3 linked regions of the Oryzias latipes genome follow. Each later gene encodes a partner of the first gene's protein in a complex. Links are inferred from orthologs where the notes say so. Each region holds a gene or a part of one and is shown in the gene's direction. Other genes may lie near its edges.

Region 1 (5,952 bases):
TGCGAGGGGAGCGGGTGCTGTTGTTGTCCAGCTGGCGCTCCAGGCGGCGCAGCAGCCCGCTGAAGTCTGTGGGAGGGTTGTAGGTTCGGGTCCCGCAGTACTGCAGGGAGCTGAAAGCTTTGGGGAACAGGCCCAGCTTCTGGAAGCGCTCCTGCAGCAGACACTCCGCTGATTCCAACTGCCTGTCTGCATTTTGACAGACCAAGACAGAGAGACATGTAAGAACATTCAAGTCAGCAGACATGGAGATTGGCTGCAGGACGGGTGGAAAACCTGATCCCAGCAGCTTGGTGTGGACGGTTTCGTGGAAGACGATTACTGCAGGGCCCAGTGTGGACAACGGGACGTCCAGACCGCAGCGGCTCGAGGTCGCCTTCAGCTCCTTGGTGAAATGTTTCAAGTAGGCATCTGAGGCGTCGCCGAGGAACCGGAAGAGGTCGTCATGGAGACGGTCGGAGTGCGTTCGGTAAATAATCACATCCGAGATGGCCAAGACTTTGAGGAGGAGGCGTTGACCCTGATTAGCTCCTAATTAAAACAGAAGGGAGCTGAGAATGCTTGCTTGCTTAGTGACAAAGAGTTTCAGGTATTTGTTCCATACCAGCCCCCAGCAGCCCCTCCGTATCGATGACCACCACTCTGTGCAGAGGATCCAGAGCAGCCCACACCCCCACGGTGCAGGACTCCTGGGTGGGCAGGGTCTTGAACACTTCTCTTCCAAGAAAGAAGGTGTGGTTTAATGTGTGGGACTTGCCCTCTCCAGTGTTTCCAAAGATGGAAACCACTTTGAGGAGCTCATCTGGTGTGCAGCCTAGTCTGCTAACAAAATCCTCTTCATCTTTCACCTAAAAACCCATTGAGATGATTTTACTCATCAGGAATGTTCTGGAAGAAGGATTTGGGACAAAGTAGGTTTGTTTGGCACCCACCTGCACCTCCTCCTTCTCATTGACTAACAGGAAGCTGCTCGCCTCCTCCAGCTTGGATCTGAGGGCCTCCACCTCCATCTCCCCATCCACCACGCAGCTTTCCTTGGCCGGAGGATAAAGCGTCAGCGGGTGCTTCCTCTTGTTGACGCCAGCATGAGTGCGTTTCTGGCAGTCTAAACACAGATTGATCTTACAGCCCTGACAGCGCACCGCCGCCCGGACCCGGGTGGCGTCGGCCCTGCCCCCCTTACAGAGGTCACAGAAGGGAACGTGGCCGGCCTTGATCTGAACCCGGTCATGGTTTCTCATGCGCTTCTGCCGGTGGAGCTCCAGTTCACAGCGGATGCACTGCAGGCTGCCGCACTCATCACACTCATATGTGGCTTCGTCTGAGCCCCCACAGGCAAAGCTCTCTTGACAGACCAAGACCGTGGGCCTCCCTTGCTCCATTTCTGAACCTGGCTCGCTCATTGTGGACCTGAAATTTGAACAACAGTGACTTTTAAGAAAGATGTGTTAAAGACTCCAGAGCATGCAGGTCGCTCAGGTGTTTGTGCATGAGATGTCCTGTAGACGAATGTTTACATTAAAGAAGGTCCAACCATTCATAGATCCACCAACAACACAGACACCTGGAGGGGAAATGGAAAAAAGTATGAAAAATTAAAGGTTAATGGGGAATTTTTAAGGTTGATTCCATTAGATTCTGCCTCAGACAGATCAGTCTGGTTGGATTGTAGGAATAGAAATGCATTCAGTGATTAATTGTTACCAACCACACATTATAACACACTACACATTCTGAAAATTCAGAAAAAAAGCATTAAAAGAATACCAACAGCTGAGGCACAGTAAAAAGAATTGGGCCAGAATGAAAGCAGATACATACACAGCCCATTTGTAAGGAGCTTTAGTTTAGAACATTTGCTCTGATTTTCCAAATAAATACATAATCGGCTCTTACCTGAACAGACTCACCTGTCCCACGGAAGTGAGTCTAGCCCCGAAGGTTCAGCAGGAAGCGATAGCGGCGTCACGCTGTCAAACATGCATGTTTACAAAAAGAAACAACAGCCCCGCGAGAAAATCAGCTGGTTGCCTTGTTTTGTTGTCCATGTCAAGGGTCACAGCGGCGCAATGCATTTTGGGAAATGCATTTCCAGTGAGGGTCGAGCTCTTTGTTTAAAGTGAATCATGAAACAAACATGTAAAAGTTACTTTTGCTTATATTTATAAATCTAAAGCTTTTATCTCCACATTGAAGTTCCTCCATAAAGCCCTGTACCTAAAACTCTCACCCATAATGCTTTGCTACAGCCGTCATTACTGGGGGTAAGTTCGTTTTGTACACAGAGGGCTGCCGGAAAGTGGCTTACTGAGACTTGCGCTTATTTTAGGGTTCTGATGAATTGAAATATGATATCATAAAATAGGCTTTGATCATTAAATTAATGTCAAATAGACTTAAATTCATCTTTGCTGCGGCTGTTTTGATTCCTGTGCTTGTTTAAGCGCCCCGGTGTCAAAAACAAAAGCACCCGGAAGTTGCGTCACGTGAGAAGTTTTTTTCTTTTACATGAGAAGTAGTTATGCACAAATGTTTTTACTTTGCAAATTTTACTGTTGACGTTGTTTTTCAGATGAACAGGGTTGAGTGTGATCTTTTAGTCCCCGTATTCAGGTGGAATTAACGGCATTAGTCTGCTGTTGAGGTGCTAAGCAACAAGCTAACTTAAGCTAGCTAGCTAGCCCAAACGGACTCTCTGAGTTTTTTCCCTCACTCCTGATCTGATGGAAGAAGAAACATTCTCTGACATTAGAGGTCAGCCCATTACTCTGGGATGTCAGAGGCACTCCAGCTTCTGCACGGAGTTCACTGTCAGCTCCCCCAAGGTGTCCATCGGGAAGGTCCTGGCGTCCACCTGCTCGGTGTGGCTGCTGGCTTACCTGCTGTTCTTCTTCACACAGGTGAGACCTTCTGTCTGTCTGTCTGTCTGTCTGTCTGTCTGTCTGTCTGTCTGTCTGTCTGTCTGTCTGTCTGTCTGTCTGTCTGTCTGTCTGTCTGTCATGGTGGGAGGAAAAGAAAAATGACTTGATTGTTGTGGGAACATTGCCTTGTAGATTGTCAGAACCGCTTCTGGTTCTGGATCTGGTTTTGTGTCTGCTCTGGTTTAATAACGTTCACATGGGCTCTTCATCCCGGCTGGTTCTGTTTGCTTCTCTGACTTTACATAATTGTTCAGGCATAACTTTAGCCTCCAAAACTTACTTTCCCATGGGGAAATGTTAGATCAGGGTGTCTTGTCATCGCTACAAATGATTGATCAAAGTAGGAACGTTTAGGCTTTTATTAGGTTTAAGTTAAAATATAGAAAACCATTTAATGGTAGAATAAAAGCAATTCCTTTCCTTTCTTTGTCCCCAATGTCCTGCAGTCTGATGATGTTGATGATGATGGTAAAACCATCACTGATCCCCAATTGTCCAACATTCCCCATAAATAATGCAAAGTTACAAAACTACACAGAAGAGGAAGTGAAATGGAGTTAAGATCTAAATTCCTCAAATGTACTATTGCTCCAAAATGCAAGAAATTCATTTCAAAATTATGAGTGATGTTTACCCAAACGCGAAGAGCTGTTGGGTTTATGCTTTGGTTTTCAGCAAAACAGCTGAGCTTTCTGTGATATGAACACAGAATCAATAGATGGATTGTTTTATCAATGCATCAACTGTATGTCAATGGCTTTTGGCGGATTGTCGTTGTTGATGTTGCACTACATTTTCAGAAAGCCAAGTATATTTTGGAGTAATCTGCAGAGAGAAATGATTTAATTTAGTTCTTAATCTGACACACAGGCTGCTTTGAGACTTTACAAACCTTTTCATTTGATTCACTGTTCTGTTTTGGTGCATTTGCTCGGGTGACACAAATGCAAAACAGAAATAACCTCTAAATCACGAACCATATCTGGCTCTTTTGATGGTCACATCTGGCTCGCAGACAAATCTTTAATTATAAAAACAATGTTTTCATTAAACCAGTCCTTCTCAGGCGCGATGTGATGCCGGGGGGGGGGGGGGGGGGGGCGCAGTAGTAGTAGCGGTGCTTGGACAAAAAAAAATCTGCGCCACTATTGGTTTCCTATTATGTGTTACATCACAGAGTTTGTAGCAGCCTCAAACTGTGAACCATCCGTCCCTGCAGCTGCACGCCCCCGTCTCTGAGAGGGGGGGGTAGCAAGGTGACACGCACACTGAGTGTCAGAGCTTAGAACACGCTGTCCGTCACATACCACACACTGCAGCGTGTGAGCACTGCTGTACTGACAGTGTTCGCATTTCTCACATCTATAGAACATTAAGACTAAGGGTGTGACGATAACCGCATCACCACGGTGATCAAAAATCCCACACCGTCACAGCTCTACTCCACAGCGGGTTCATAATAATAATGAAGTGATAACGTAAAATAATAAGGAATCAATCACTGTTCTTCTGGGGGAAACCTGATTTTATTACTGTTCTCCTTCACTTGGTAACACCAAACATGAACGTGCATGTACTTATTGTACTTGAAACGTGTTGAAATTACGCAAAATACACACATTCACTTGTATTTTTAGTTTTAAACATATTGTATTGCTGAACAAGTTGTGTGGCGTTGGTTACGGCCTGGAGTAACTAGAATAAAGAACCTTAAAAGAGGTTAAGTCTCCATGCCTCAGTGTGGGAAAGGTACGCTACAATATTGTATACTATCATTAAATTACATTGAAAAATATGTGGTGTTCATGGCTCTCTCGGCCAAAAAGGTTCCCGACCCCTGCTCTAGAAGGAGAAAAACAAAACAAATGAATAAATATTTGTATCTATTCTAGTTCAGGCTGAAGTTTGAAAAAGCAAAGGTAGGAACTCTGAGACATAAACTCCTCCCACCACCGCCAACCATAAAAGCTCATGTTTCCTGTCCCGTAGAACACGGCGGTTCTGTCCAGTGCCATCCTCGTCACCTTGGTCGGCATGGTTCTTCACATCCACTTTGTGAAGGTCGACCACGAGTCCCTTCTAGTCATCGGGTCTTTGGGCATCCAGGTGTCTTCTAGCTACGCCTCAGGCCGCGAGATCACGTCCTTCATAGAGATGGGCCGGATTAAAGACATCGTCATCAACGAGGCTGTTTACATGGTGCTTCTGTGGACCAATGTCATTGTAATCATGGGTCACCTCTGGGACGCAGGTGTAAAAGCCGTGTGTCCTTCATTCCAGCATCAGATCATCTACCACCTGTGTGTGCTGCTGAGGGAGCCGGCAGAGCCAGACGCCGTGGCGGGTGTGGTGCCCTTGTTCCAGGTCAGTGCAGGCTCATGGTGTGAGGAACAGTGCCAGAGGTTGATCTTCACCAGGACTTTGTCTTTCAGAGCTCAAAGCCTAGACTCGGTTGTTTGGTAAAGGTTTACCGCAGCTGTCAGGAGATCCTGTCCAAGGTTCCATGAAGCTTGGAGGGGACGTCTGTCTGACCACACTTTGCTTCTGGTATGTTTGAATCCTTTTAAATTGGACAAGAGTACAGGAACTTGTTAATGGTTTCTGCCAAATATGTTTTGTCCTAATATTTCAAAAGTCATTCTAAAGCATCACAGGCCTCTTTCACTAATCAAATGCAGCTTTCAGAGTCAAGGCCCGTACACACCGGGACGAATATTCGCCAGGCGTTATTCGCCAGCGTTTTTCGCCACGTTTTTTGTGTTCACACCCAGGCGATTTTCGCTGACGATGAGTGGAGTGAACATGCAATTTCATTCACTGACATTAGATGGCGCTTAATGTAAAACAGAAATACTCCTGTACACAAGGTGGCGCTGCGCAACTTTACGCTTCTGAAAGTCGCTTTTAACTCAGAAGAAGAGAGCAAGTATTTACGCGCTTGTCAGAATCAAACAAAGAAAACATGAATATTTCAAGCACCAGTAGCTCCAACTGGTGCTTGGTTCGGGGATATTTTAGAATGTCCATCATTATT
Region 2 (5,799 bases), on another chromosome or scaffold:
CCTGACACCTTATCTGGTCCTGCGGCTTTACTGGTGTCGATCCTCCTCAGAGTGGAGCTCACCTGATGTAGCTGCAGGACGAGAGGCTGGGACTGCTCCTCCAGCTGTAATAGAGGACCAGAGTCCCTGCTGCTGCCGGGCGTCTCGAAGCGTGCAAAGAAGGTGTTTAGAGTGTCAGGCAGGGTGGGGTCATGAGTGGTCTGCTGCATGCTGCTCCTGTGGTCTGTGATGGTTCTGATGCCTCTCCACATCTCCCGCGGGTTGTTATTAGCAAAGTGCTGTTCCACCTGTTGTCTGTGTCTGCGTTTGGCCTGGTTGATGCCCCTCCTCAGCTCTGTCCGGGCTCTGCTGTAGGCCAGCCTGTCACCTGACCTGTAGGCTGCATCCCGAGCTTTGAGCAAAGACCGCACTGTTCCATCAAACCATGGTTTCTGGTTTGGGTAGACTTTGATGGACTTTGTGGGCAGAACAGCATCGGTGCAGAACAGCACATAGCTCAGGACGGATGTTGTGTAGGCCTCCAGGTCTGAGCCATCTTTAAACACCTCCCAGTCAGTGAGTTCAAAACAGTCCTGTAGTGCAGAAGAAGCCTCTTCGGTCCATACCTGAACTGTTTTGATGGTTGGTTTGGTCCTGCAGATCAGAGGTCTGTATGTGGGGGTTAGCTCCACAGAGATGTGATCCGACATGCCCAGGTGAGGAGCTGCTGCAGCCTTGTATGCACCTGGGATGTTGCAGTAGACTTGATCCAGTGTGTTGTTGTCTCTGGTGGGAAAGTGAATAAACTTCTGAAATTTGATGGATGGATGGATATATGGATGGATGGGTGGCAGTGGCTCAGGCAGATGAGCAGGTCGTCCAATGATCGAAGGGTCGTTGGTTCGATCCCCTCTCCCCCCAGCCAACTGTCGTGTCTTTGGGGAAGACGCTTCACCCTCCCTGCCTCCACTGGTGCATGAATGTGCATGAATGTCCTGGTGATGGTCAGAGGGGCCGTAGGCGCCAACTGTCAGCCACGCCTCTGTCCGTCTGCCCCAGGGCAGCTGAGGCTACATCAGTAGTTACCATCACCAAGTATGAATGAATGATGGACTCACTGTTAACGCTTTGAGCGTCTGGAAAAGCAGATCAATCCATTATTATTTAGTCTTAAGTATTTAAATAAAAAGTAGGGTAACATTGACGTAGAGCAACTGTCAACTGTCAACTGGCTATGTTTTGACTATCTTATTCAGATTCATTTCTCCACGCAGGTCAGTTCTTGCTTTACCAAACTGACTTGGATGGTTCATTTTTCAGACGAGTGAATTCTGCTGGCAGGATCAACCCGGTAGCCCCAGGAGTTGGCAGTAGGGCGGGCCAACCCAGGCCAGGCCTCAACTAGGGCAACAGTTCTGGATTGTGTTTCTATAGTTTTTTTACTCTAATTAAATAATGAGTGATGAGCAAATACTTAGTGGTCAAATGTCTTTACCGTCAGATCTGTAGTTTGTTCTTAATGAATGATCTTTTTCAGCAGCAAAGAGCATTTATCACTGCAGGAACATGAATGCATCAGTGTCTGCAACATTTGCTCTTGTTTGCACACCAACTAGCTGGTCTAAACATTGGGACTGCATTGTAAATTAAAAACATGTATTTTAAAATCTTTGAACTCAAAAGCAACTTTTCTGAACTGTATCGCTGAACTATGTATTTATTTAGCGGAATGTCGACACTTAAGCTCTCTGAAAATGTATTTGTTTATTTTTTTAAACAAATCTTTGTTCTTGATGATCTACTTTCTGACCTGGATTAAAAAAAAAGGTTCATCATGTACGGATTTCTGTTTCTTAGAGATTTGTTATGAAAGTATTGGATAGTTTTTATTTCATTATTTTGAATGTGGATGAGCGGGTTCTACTGGTAGGAGTGTTTACCAGTAACTACCATTTCTTTAGTTTAATCAAAAAAGTGATGACTCATATCACTGCAGAAGCGTTGTCCGGTCCATGACTCCTGGATGGTCCGGTCCATAAGTCCAGGGAATAATGTAGCTTTGCCTGAGGATGACCACCATGACTAAAGCCGATCTCTTGGAGCCAGATTGTCGTGTTGAAGTGGGTTAGTGCAGAAAATGGATTTATGGAATATGAACGTTCCTGTGAGACTCCAGCATGAATCTCAACACAAATCCTAAAGTCATAAAAAATATTCCTTTCCAAATGGCCAGGATGTCGAAACGCCAACTGTTTGCTGCTTCAGGAATCCCACAAGACAGAAAATGTAAAAAACAACAAAATCAGGCGGGACGTTTTTCTATTTGTCATGTTACTCCAGACCAGCAGGGGGCGGTCACGGGACTTTCTCCTGCAGCTGCAGCCGGACATAAACCAACCGGAAAAACGGAGGTCACGTGGTTCTACCGCCTGTCAACAATGGTGAGCGGCGTTTAAGTAATTTATTTTATAGGAAATCCCTTTACAAACATGATTTTACGGGGATAAACAGTCGCAGTGGTTTGACCTTTACAGGCCGCCGTCATGAAGAATTGTGCCTAAAAGCAGGTTGAAGTTTCGCGTTGAGCTCTTGACGCTTAAGGCTTAATGACGATCCGCGGGTCCCTAACCGGGTCCCTAACCGGCCTTCAGAAGAACGACAGGAATGTTTTCTCCTCACGGGAATGCGGACAAAACGGACGTTTGGTCTCTGACATTTTTATTCACCGCACATGAAAAAACGCTGAGATTGAAGCCGCAGCTGTAGTCAGTTTGGCCTTTTTCATTGTATTTATTTACTCTGAAGTTAGAAGAACATCCCACAGAAACTTTACCCAATGAGTTCTATCACTAGAGGAGACACACCCGCTTGGGAAGCCTGGCCGACGGTGGCGGAGCGCGACGCCATCTTGGTGAGGTCGTCAGCGCCCACGTGACAATGATTTCTATTGCCTTTAGTGGCATCTAGTAGCTTTTATATATATTTATACCTATATATAAATATATATGTATATCATTTATGTATATGCATCATTTGTTTTTAAATAAGAGAAACAGGCAGCATTAAAAGCTCAAACTTTAATGAAAAATGCAGAGTTGCAGGACTTCTTACAAAAAAAATTATTACAAAGAATTTTTAAAAATAATTTTTAAACATGTAGAAGTTTTAGACCTCTTTGAAACGTAATTTAAATTATTTAGAAAAGCCCAACAATAAGTCAATAGGAAGCCAATAATAATAATGAATAATAACAATATATACATAAGTCAATAATTATAATAATAATAAATAGTAATTCAATAATAATAATAAATTATAAGAATAAATCAATAATAAGTCAACAATAAGTCCAAAAGTCAATAACAGATTTACCCTGAAAAAACAAAGAGAAACAATAGATTAACTGATTCATGTTAGTGATCAGTTTGTGTAACACAGATTCCTTGGTGTCGGGTTTCAGGCTAACATTCTGGCCTCTCATCAAAGTCTGGTTCCACAAATGTTCTGAACATATCCAGACTGTATCACTAGTTGGTACCACAGTGATCCATCTGGGTTAGCTCTTTTTATTGCTAAGATCCACTTTTTCCTGAAGTCTGAATCTATTAGAAACCTGCAAGAAAAGTTCAGTCTGAGTCAGAAATGTATAAATCTATATTATTATAATAGCCTAGTCCTAGTATACTGTATATAGGTTTAACACAATAAAGTTTACATTTATGTCGACAGCAAATTCTCCGTACATCATGCAGCATGTTGATAACAGCCCTGCAGCATCATGCATGTCTACATGTGTTCTATTCATGAAGCCCCTCCAGCATTAAAAGAAAAACATTAAAATACTTACCTGTGAAATGTTCTGCCTTCCTGCTTCGTGGACTAATTTCCTCGATTTTGACAGTTGAAATCCGCACAATGAACTGGGATTTTGAGTTCACATGCTGAACTGCAGCAGTGACTTGACCTCACCAAGATGGCGGTGCTCTCCTCCCATGAAGAATCCCATGACGTCTCCTCTAGCGATAGAACTCATTGACTTTAACTGCTGCGGCACCCGCAGTCTGAGACCCGGTCCAAAGCTGGGTCACTGATGAACTTTTTCTGCTCTTGGTTTTCAGGCCACTGGAGTGGATCAGGCTGTCGGCATGGGTCTGGTTCTGTTCAGCCTGGCTCTGTTTTCGTACTACTCTGTGTGGGTCGTGGTTCTGGTACGTCCTGATGGAGCCTCTTAAATATCTGTAGGACAAAGGTGGACTCTAATACTGTGATTTGCACCAATTGCAGCCGTTCATGGACGGTGACCACATGCTGCAGCAGTACTTCCTTCCTCGTGAGTACTCTGTCATCCTGCCGGGCATTGCAGCAGTGGTTTTGCTCCTCATGATAGGTCAGTATGCCGTCTCATGACCTCATGACCCCGCTGTCTACACGTCTTCATGCCAGACGGACGCGGTGATCCTCTGGTTTTTGTCTTCTCTGCAGGGGCTTTCACAGCAGCTGTTGTGTGGATGAATCACAAGCCAAAGAAAGTGGATTAGTCCCACTTTCCATGGGAAAATGGAACTTTATAAAGTCACATGGATTCATTTTCCTCCTCTGGGAATCTTTTTGACAGAACATGTGCTTGGTGTTGTGGGTATGAGTGCTGGCTGTGAGTGAAGTCTGGGTTTCAAACTGAAAAATAAACCTTTTCACATAGATCACCCCGTCCTACAGATGTTTTAATGGTTGCCAAGCATTCTGCTGACCTCCATGATGCTGGGAGTCACTCGTTTTCAGTATCTACACTGTGTGGAGGCAGCATTTGTACACCAGATGAGTACGGTGGGTGGAGTCTTTAGGTGTTTCAAAAGTCTGAATACTTTTGTCATTTCTCACTAGTTTGGACTTTAACCCTCCTGATGGGCTGGATTCTTGTCTTGCTCCATGTTACCTAACTGTTTTCTCTACATCAATAAAATCACAAATTAAAATAGTAGAAAATCGGTTTCAACCATTGACTGTATAGAGAACTGGACTGATCGAGGGTGAGCCACCCGTAGAAAACACCTAACCCCCAGCTCCAGCTAAAGGAACCCGATTCAGTCGCCGTTTTTCCTCGATACGGTTGCGCCATGTTGGAGCCAGACGACAGTGGTTGGTGCGAGTGGTCGTTTCTATGGCAACTACTGTCGCCAATCAGAAGTAAGCTTGTTTGAAGTCCACACCCCTTCAGCTCAGGACCTGAAAGCAGCTCAGGAAAATCTGTCAAACGTTAGAGGTGGGGGGCAGCAGGCACCACAAGCTCTTACTGAGGGATCTGATTGGTCAGCTGAGATCTTGAATAAAGAAAGCAAATGAGGATTATTAAGAATATATTAACAAAAGGTATCAGATCCAGAACGCTTCTTCTGACCAATAGAATGACTGAGGAACATCTGGTCATTTCTATAGACATGTACGGGATTCTGGTTTCTTGGAACCAGCAGATACTTCCTGTTTGGAACGCCAGGGGGAGGGGCGTGCCCAGTCCAGGTCTCCATACACAGTCACTGGTTAACTCTTGTTCTATCCTAGGCACTTTACCATTGGGAGTTGGGTCATCTAGACCCACTAGACAGAGCTCTGAACCTTTTTTCTTCAATGATTTGTGATCTTCACTGGTGTCCATGGATTACATGAAATCTTTCCACCTTTATCCACCTTTGTCATGGTAGGGGGAACACGTCAATGGAAGGGGGGGTCATCTAAGCACAGGGGTTACGGCCTCACACCCTCATATCTAGAGCCGCCCACCGACACACCCAGAATCCATGAACAAAACCCGTAACTGTAACTTCA
Region 3 (6,065 bases), on another chromosome or scaffold:
ATTTTGACACTGTTCAAAAGCACAGAGGATTGTTTGAAAGCAATAAACATCTAAGTATACAGTGATGTCTCGTTTTCTTACCATTTTTAATGTGTTCCGGTCGGATCCCACTGACAGCTGTTCTGTAGTCTGTCACCTTCTCTGTGGGTTTGACATATTTGTCATAGATGCATTTTCCAAACTGGTTCACGATGGACACACGTGCCAGGATGCTGTCCTCCCCATCTGGACCGACTCCCACCATCTCACAATCAATAGCTACAGCTTTGGTGATGCTGATATTCATACGTACAAACGTGGAGAAAACAAAAGGTCATCTAATGAAACAGTCCAGTCTTTCTGCTGCCCGTTTTAAAGTTTCTCCACAGAAATCACCTGAAACATTATTAAATCATTTTCTCTTTTGAGAGAAGTAAGAGAACATCTGATGTTATTGGGGTATAACTGACAACTATACCGATTTTTTCAAAAACTTGTTTAAAAAGGCAACGGCTGTTTTTCCAACTACTTCCACTTAGGGAGTCTGTTGGAGCCAGTCTGCTGCAGGTTGAGATGAGCATAAACTCTGCAACAGCTATGGCTGCATATTCATCAGGAAGCAATTGCGAAACAATCCGACGATTTTAAGACTCATACTTATGCCCAAAGAGAGCAACACACACGGGAAGTATCCCACTAGATTAAAGAGTTGCTAGGAATGGACTTTTTCAACACTTTTACACATCCGACCAAGAAAACAATGATGAAGAAGAGCAGCAGATGAGATTAAAACAATATACTATAATAATGATTGTTGAGCAAAAATTATCAAAAAATATCAGGACAAAAAGAAGGACTCCAAATTTGAAATATCTGGTTCTCTGTCAGCTTTAGGATCGATTTTAAGGTACTTTTCTTAGTTTAATGAAATTGCACTTTAATTTTAATCAAGCTGGTGTTAGCAGACGACCCTCCCAGAGCCCTCAGATCCAGTTATGCTGGTGCTCCCTGAGGTCATAAACAAAAACCCACAGCGAGGCCACATGGCAGAACTTTGGCCTAAACTCACCTTTTTAGTTTAGCTTTTATGTCGATTTTACATTTCCTCATGTTTTAATTTGATTTTATGGATTATTTTTTCCTGCTAGTTTTTGTACACAACATGTGTTTATTATAAATACTAATATAATTATTATTTATTTATGTAAAAGACTTTGAGGTGTTTTTTAACAGGAAAAGAGCTCTATAAAGAAAGGTGAATTTCAACTAGAGTTGATCGATAGCAAATGAAGGTGTGGCATTTTGACCGTAAGAACACAAAACAGTTTCTCTTACCCATCAAAGGCGTTCTCTTTTACCAGAACGCTATCTACGTTCTTGCTTGTTTTCATGCCTTGTTTCCTCCTCATGATCTCTGCAGCCTCGGCTCCCATCGTTTCCTCAATATCGTCAGGGTCGACGTCATCAAACCAAAGGTCCTCCCTACAGCAGCACAAGCAAAGATTACAAGGCAAACCCGAACTGAAGTCAAGTATTAGCAATAAGGATACATACTCTGTGGGTTTCCTCTCTTCAGTGACGGGCTTCTTTTTCTTGGCTGGTTTCTCATTGTCTGTCTTTTCGTTTTGCCTTTTCCTTGCACCACCAGGTTGCAGTTTGTCTAAGGCGGCGTGGATCTTTGCCTTCACCCCATCCTCCTTTGGGGCATCGCCACTTTTGACTTTTCCCTCTCTGTCTGTGTGCACCTGGCTGGGAGCAGGGCTCTTATTTTGAAACTTTTTAGGCTCATTTCCTTTAAACTTCTTAGGGAAGACACCATTCCGATGTTTTGGTGTAACAGGCTGCTTCTTCTCTGGCTGACTGCTCTTTAAGATCTGCCATGTTCAGGAAACAAAGAAGATAATTACATTTTAAAAGTAAATACATTTTCACATAAGTAGTTGCACAGCTTATGAAGAGCATAGAGTTTAATATTCGTCAGACAAACCTCTTGTAATGCTTTCCAGTTGGAAGAAAACTGTTGGGGATCCTGTGGTGGTGCAGTTTGCTTTGCTCCAGGATTTTCTAGATTTTTCTTGTTTAGAGTCTTTTGGGAAGTTTGTTTTTTACGATTATGCTTTATAAAAAACTTCTTCCTTTTTTCTTTGGACGTCAGCTGTTGCGTTTTTCCAGCAGGAGTTTCCTTTCCTTTGATTTTAGACATCGTGGTCGCACTTCTTTAAACTTCAGGGAGTATTTGCTGTGTTACACAGCCACGTTTTTGAAAGAAGCCAATTTTAGGTGAGATGTAAACGAAAACAGTTAACGCTGTGTCACATACATATGTATCCCAGATAAAGGGCACACACTGTTTCTATTAGCAAAAATAGCCACTTTATTATCCTCCCAAACAGGGAAAAATTATGTTTCAAGTTGTTTACCTTCACATTCACGAAGCCATGCTGCGGTGCTTCTGGAATGAGTAACAGTCAAATATGTTCGTCAGGAAAAAAGTAACATGATTCGTTCGAGCGGCAGAAAGTTCTCCCTTCGTTGATTTTTTTATTTCTTTCTTTTTTCAAGCTTGAAAATAGTTTTTAATATCTATACATTACTAACAAAGAACACAAGATTGATATGTAATTTTGCTTTATTTCTTTAAAGTCTTTTGTTCCTGATGTACAGTTTCTGACCGAACTCATTTAGGTGATGGACTAACGTTTTGTTGACAGCAGTCAGCTAGGTTTTGGCGTAATATGATTAGATGCACTTTTTACATTTTTATTTATGTTTCGTTTGAAATAGTAGAATTGGATTTTATCTATCGTTGAACCTAGCTGATGGTACGATATAAACAAGCTATTTGAGAAACATTTAAACTGTTTTTAGGGGTTTTTGTAAACTTGCTGCTCTTCTTACGAACCAAAATACACTTATTATCTGTCGGTAAGTTTAGTGACTTTTTGTCATTGTTTATTTTCGATTATTTTACCCAATAGATGGTCTGTTTGTGTTCTGGTTTCAGATCATGGTTGAAAACTCCCCATCACCTATGCCAGAGAGAGCAATCTATGGGTTTGTTCTCTTCCTTGGCTCCCAGTTTGGCTTCTGTAAGTTAAGTCCCATCACATCATGTTCTTTCAAATTAGAAGCATAGTTCTATTTGCAGAAGATGTCATTCAACGTAAAATGTTGTGGAATTACTTATCTCTACGGCTCTTGGTAATATAGCAAAGACATTCTGTTCCTTTTGTTTATGTTGCCATAAATCTAATCTCATTGAAATTTGTAAATGTGCAGGACGACTCACTTGAGTTAAAATAGAATAACCGTTTCTCGGTGGAGATTTAAATCTCCTTACTACTAGGGTGATAAATAGTTGACCACCTGAAAAACAGACTGCCATTAATTCAATGTGACTTCACTTAAAAAAAACAAGCCTTTTTGGATTTTTTTCTCAATAGAATTCTTTCAATAATTAGTTTTTTTTAAGTTATTTATATCTCAAGGTATACATTAGTAAAAGGTTATTGTGTTTATATATATTTTTAAAAATTCAGCTGAAAGATGGCAGGATGGTAGTGACTTAAATATTGTAAATTACTTTAAAACGCTAGTTGTGTGTTGTTGTTGTTTTGGGTAAAAAGTAGGATTTTTTTAATAGGCCTGTTATGTTCATATTTAGGCTTAAAACTACACAATTTAATAAGTCGGCAAAATTGTATTAAGCCAAATGAAGAAGTCTTGTTTAACTTTTAAATTGGATTGTCTTTTTCTCATTTAAAAGAAAATTCTTCTAATAATCCCAATAATTCTAAAAAGATTTCAATTTGGAATATCACATAACTCTGTTGCTTATAAATGAATATTTACACTTTCCTCAAAGGTTGTCTTTTTTATTGGTTGGATGGTCTTTCTGTATGAAAAAGCATCAGATTTAAAAATAAATTGAAATGAAAGGACATATGTTTATACATAAATGTAAGATAATGTAACAGAACAGAAGTAAAAATAGTTCGTGAACAATTTGAAAAAAAAGTCTATCCTAAAAGAGTATCAAAGAATTCTCTTAATAAAATATGTTTGTTCTGTTTCTTTTCCCAAAGTTCTGTACTGCTTGTGGGCATACATACCAGAGGAATGGCTTCATTCTATAGGGCTCACTTATTGGCCTCAAAAGTAAGTAGCAACAATATGACAAGTTAGAATTTATGTTTTATGTCTTTTTACAATGAGATTACCCTAGGCTTGTTAGCCTTTGTTTGAATCTTAAAGTGAAATGTTTGATGCAGGTATTGGGCTCTCGCAGTGCCAATATATATGCTGGTGGCAATACTGGTGTTTGTTGTGGTGTTATTTGGGGTCAACATGAGCAACACAGCCCCACTGGACTCTGTGGACAACATCACAGGTGAGTTTATGGCTGCAGGCTAACAGTCAGCGTAAATCACAGAAAAGCTGTTTGAAGTGAAATTATATTGAATTTTAAAAAAAGGAAGTAAAATCACTGCTAGGAGTAATACAACCGAACTAGCTTTAACATGCGCTAATTGCAGCTGCATTTTTCTAAAAAAGGAACTGTACCTCACATAATAAAAGCATATACTTTTAAAATAAATGAATACAAATAAGGGTGAGTAATTTATGTCAAAAAGGTCGGATATTATGTCAAAATTAAGAAAACACCACCAAGAAAACAGCTTTAAGTGTCTTCTTTGTGTCTTTTAGATATTTATGCACTAAAGCAGAGTGAAGAATGCCTGCAGAAGGGGGGAATACCTCGAATAAAGGATGTCTCCATCAGTGATGTCAACAAAATGTTTTATTTATCACCCAAAACATAACAGTCTGCTGCTGGGTGTTTTGTGGTTTCTCTGTTCATTTATTAATAATCTGGGGGAACCTTTCTGATGGTGTAATATGCCAAATCTGTTCGCTTTTGCAAATTTGTATGCAAAGTTAACAGGTCTGGTTAGTGGGTTTGTATGTAACTTTTGCACTGTGACTTTGCTATTTACCTTTTAAATTTTTTTTCTTAATTGATCAAGATGTTTCCATCATACCAATAAGAAAATATCACTTAAATATGTTCATTTACAGTATGTTTCAGTGCATTAAAGATGAGGTATTTTTCCACAAGATAAACTCAACTTTTGTTATTTTAGACAAAATAGATAAAGTTTCAAAGCTGAACCAAGTTGTGTTTATAGTTTCTGGCTAAACATAAAATAATATATATACTGTATATCTTGTTGTTTCATTGTTGCCTTTGTATTTTTGTACAATTCAAAGATGACAAAAGTGCATAAAAGATATTTTAAAAAAAGATTGGGGGTCCTATTTCCCTCCTTTTCTGTTTACACTTCATTTTATTACAAATAAGGAGATTTTTTGGTGTTTCATTTTGAAAATTGTCCTGTGTGTCATTTATTGTTATTGGCACAAAGATCTTTAAATGTACAGCAGGGGGCAGTAGTGAGTTTGGTGCTGCGTTTTGTTAACTTTATTGATAGACGAAGAAAAGCAATAACAGGGTGCTGCTCCTCTTCCAAGTATTCCACATTTTTGTTGTTTAGTTTTGTGCTTATTGTCTTCAAATACACGTTCCAAACAAACAAAAATGACGTTTGCTGTTCCGGTGTGGCTGGCGGTGCACGAGCTTCTCCTGGAAGAAGAAGCGGCGGAGAAGGAGAACTCGACCTGTTTTGACGAATTCAACGACGCCGCTTTGTTCGAATACTTCCACCTCACGCGGCCCTGCATCGCTTTCATCGTCGACGCCGTTCGAATCCGCATGAAAACGGTCTCCTGCAAGAAACCCTCGCCTCCGGTGGACGCGTTCGTCATGGTGGCTCTTAACTACTTCGCGCATGGCGCGTTCAGCCCGCTCGTGGTGCAGAAAGTGGGCTCGTGCCTGCACGCCAGCCTCACGAGCGTCGCCAGCTCAGCATCGGGGGTCATCGCGGGGATGTCGGACGTGTTCATCTCTTTCCCTCTCACCGCGGAAGCCAGGATTCAAAACGCCGCCGTCATTAAAGAGTTCTGCAAAATCCCCAACGTCCTGGGAGCCATGGCTCCTGCCCAGTTTAAGATCAGGGCTTCTCCGT

The links.
Region 2: pigh (region 1) and dpm2 share a complex: the UniProt entries of both Homo sapiens proteins name them as parts of the glycosylphosphatidylinositol-N-acetylglucosaminyltransferase (GPI-GnT) complex. The link is inferred for Oryzias latipes from reciprocal best matches to the Homo sapiens genes PIGH and DPM2.
Region 3: pigh (region 1) and pigp share a complex: the UniProt entries of both Homo sapiens proteins name them as parts of the glycosylphosphatidylinositol-N-acetylglucosaminyltransferase (GPI-GnT) complex. The link is inferred for Oryzias latipes from reciprocal best matches to the Homo sapiens genes PIGH and PIGP.

The regions. Positions count from the first base shown.
Region 1 is NC_019882.2:21,959,162-21,965,113, reverse strand, and holds the start of pigh (phosphatidylinositol N-acetylglucosaminyltransferase subunit H), read left to right. Parts: upstream 1-2,464; 5' UTR 2,465-2,720; coding exon 2,721-2,897; intron 2,898-4,907; coding exon 4,908-5,117; intron 5,118-5,198; coding exon 5,199-5,282; intron 5,283-5,350; coding exon 5,351-5,425; 3' UTR 5,426-5,465; intron 5,466-5,952. Other genes in the region: zinc finger FYVE domain-containing protein 1, read right to left, coding at 1-186, 274-528, 602-845, 930-1,407, 1,908-1,978. UniProt on the Homo sapiens protein: Part of the glycosylphosphatidylinositol-N-acetylglucosaminyltransferase (GPI-GnT) complex that catalyzes the transfer of N-acetylglucosamine from UDP-N-acetylglucosamine to phosphatidylinositol and participates in the first step of GPI biosynthesis.
Region 2 is NC_019870.2:30,338,351-30,344,149, forward strand, and holds dpm2 (dolichol phosphate-mannose biosynthesis regulatory protein), read left to right. Parts: upstream 1-2,397; 5' UTR 2,398-2,585; coding exon 2,586-2,684; intron 2,685-4,097; coding exon 4,098-4,187; intron 4,188-4,263; coding exon 4,264-4,366; intron 4,367-4,461; coding exon 4,462-4,517; 3' UTR 4,518-4,682; downstream 4,683-5,799. UniProt on the Homo sapiens protein: Regulates the biosynthesis of dolichol phosphate-mannose. Regulatory subunit of the dolichol-phosphate mannose (DPM) synthase complex; essential for the ER localization and stable expression of DPM1.
Region 3 is NC_019877.2:8,247,029-8,253,093, reverse strand, and holds pigp (phosphatidylinositol N-acetylglucosaminyltransferase subunit P), read left to right. Parts: upstream 1-2,648; 5' UTR 2,649-2,904; intron 2,905-2,983; 5' UTR 2,984-2,986; coding exon 2,987-3,068; intron 3,069-4,064; coding exon 4,065-4,137; intron 4,138-4,250; coding exon 4,251-4,369; intron 4,370-4,686; coding exon 4,687-4,802; 3' UTR 4,803-5,284; downstream 5,285-6,065. Other genes in the region: rexo4 (RNA exonuclease 4), read right to left, coding at 82-275, 1,315-1,461, 1,534-1,853, 1,967-2,182; putative nuclease HARBI1, read left to right, coding at 5,579-6,065. UniProt on the Homo sapiens protein: Part of the glycosylphosphatidylinositol-N-acetylglucosaminyltransferase (GPI-GnT) complex that catalyzes the transfer of N-acetylglucosamine from UDP-N-acetylglucosamine to phosphatidylinositol and participates in the first step of GPI biosynthesis.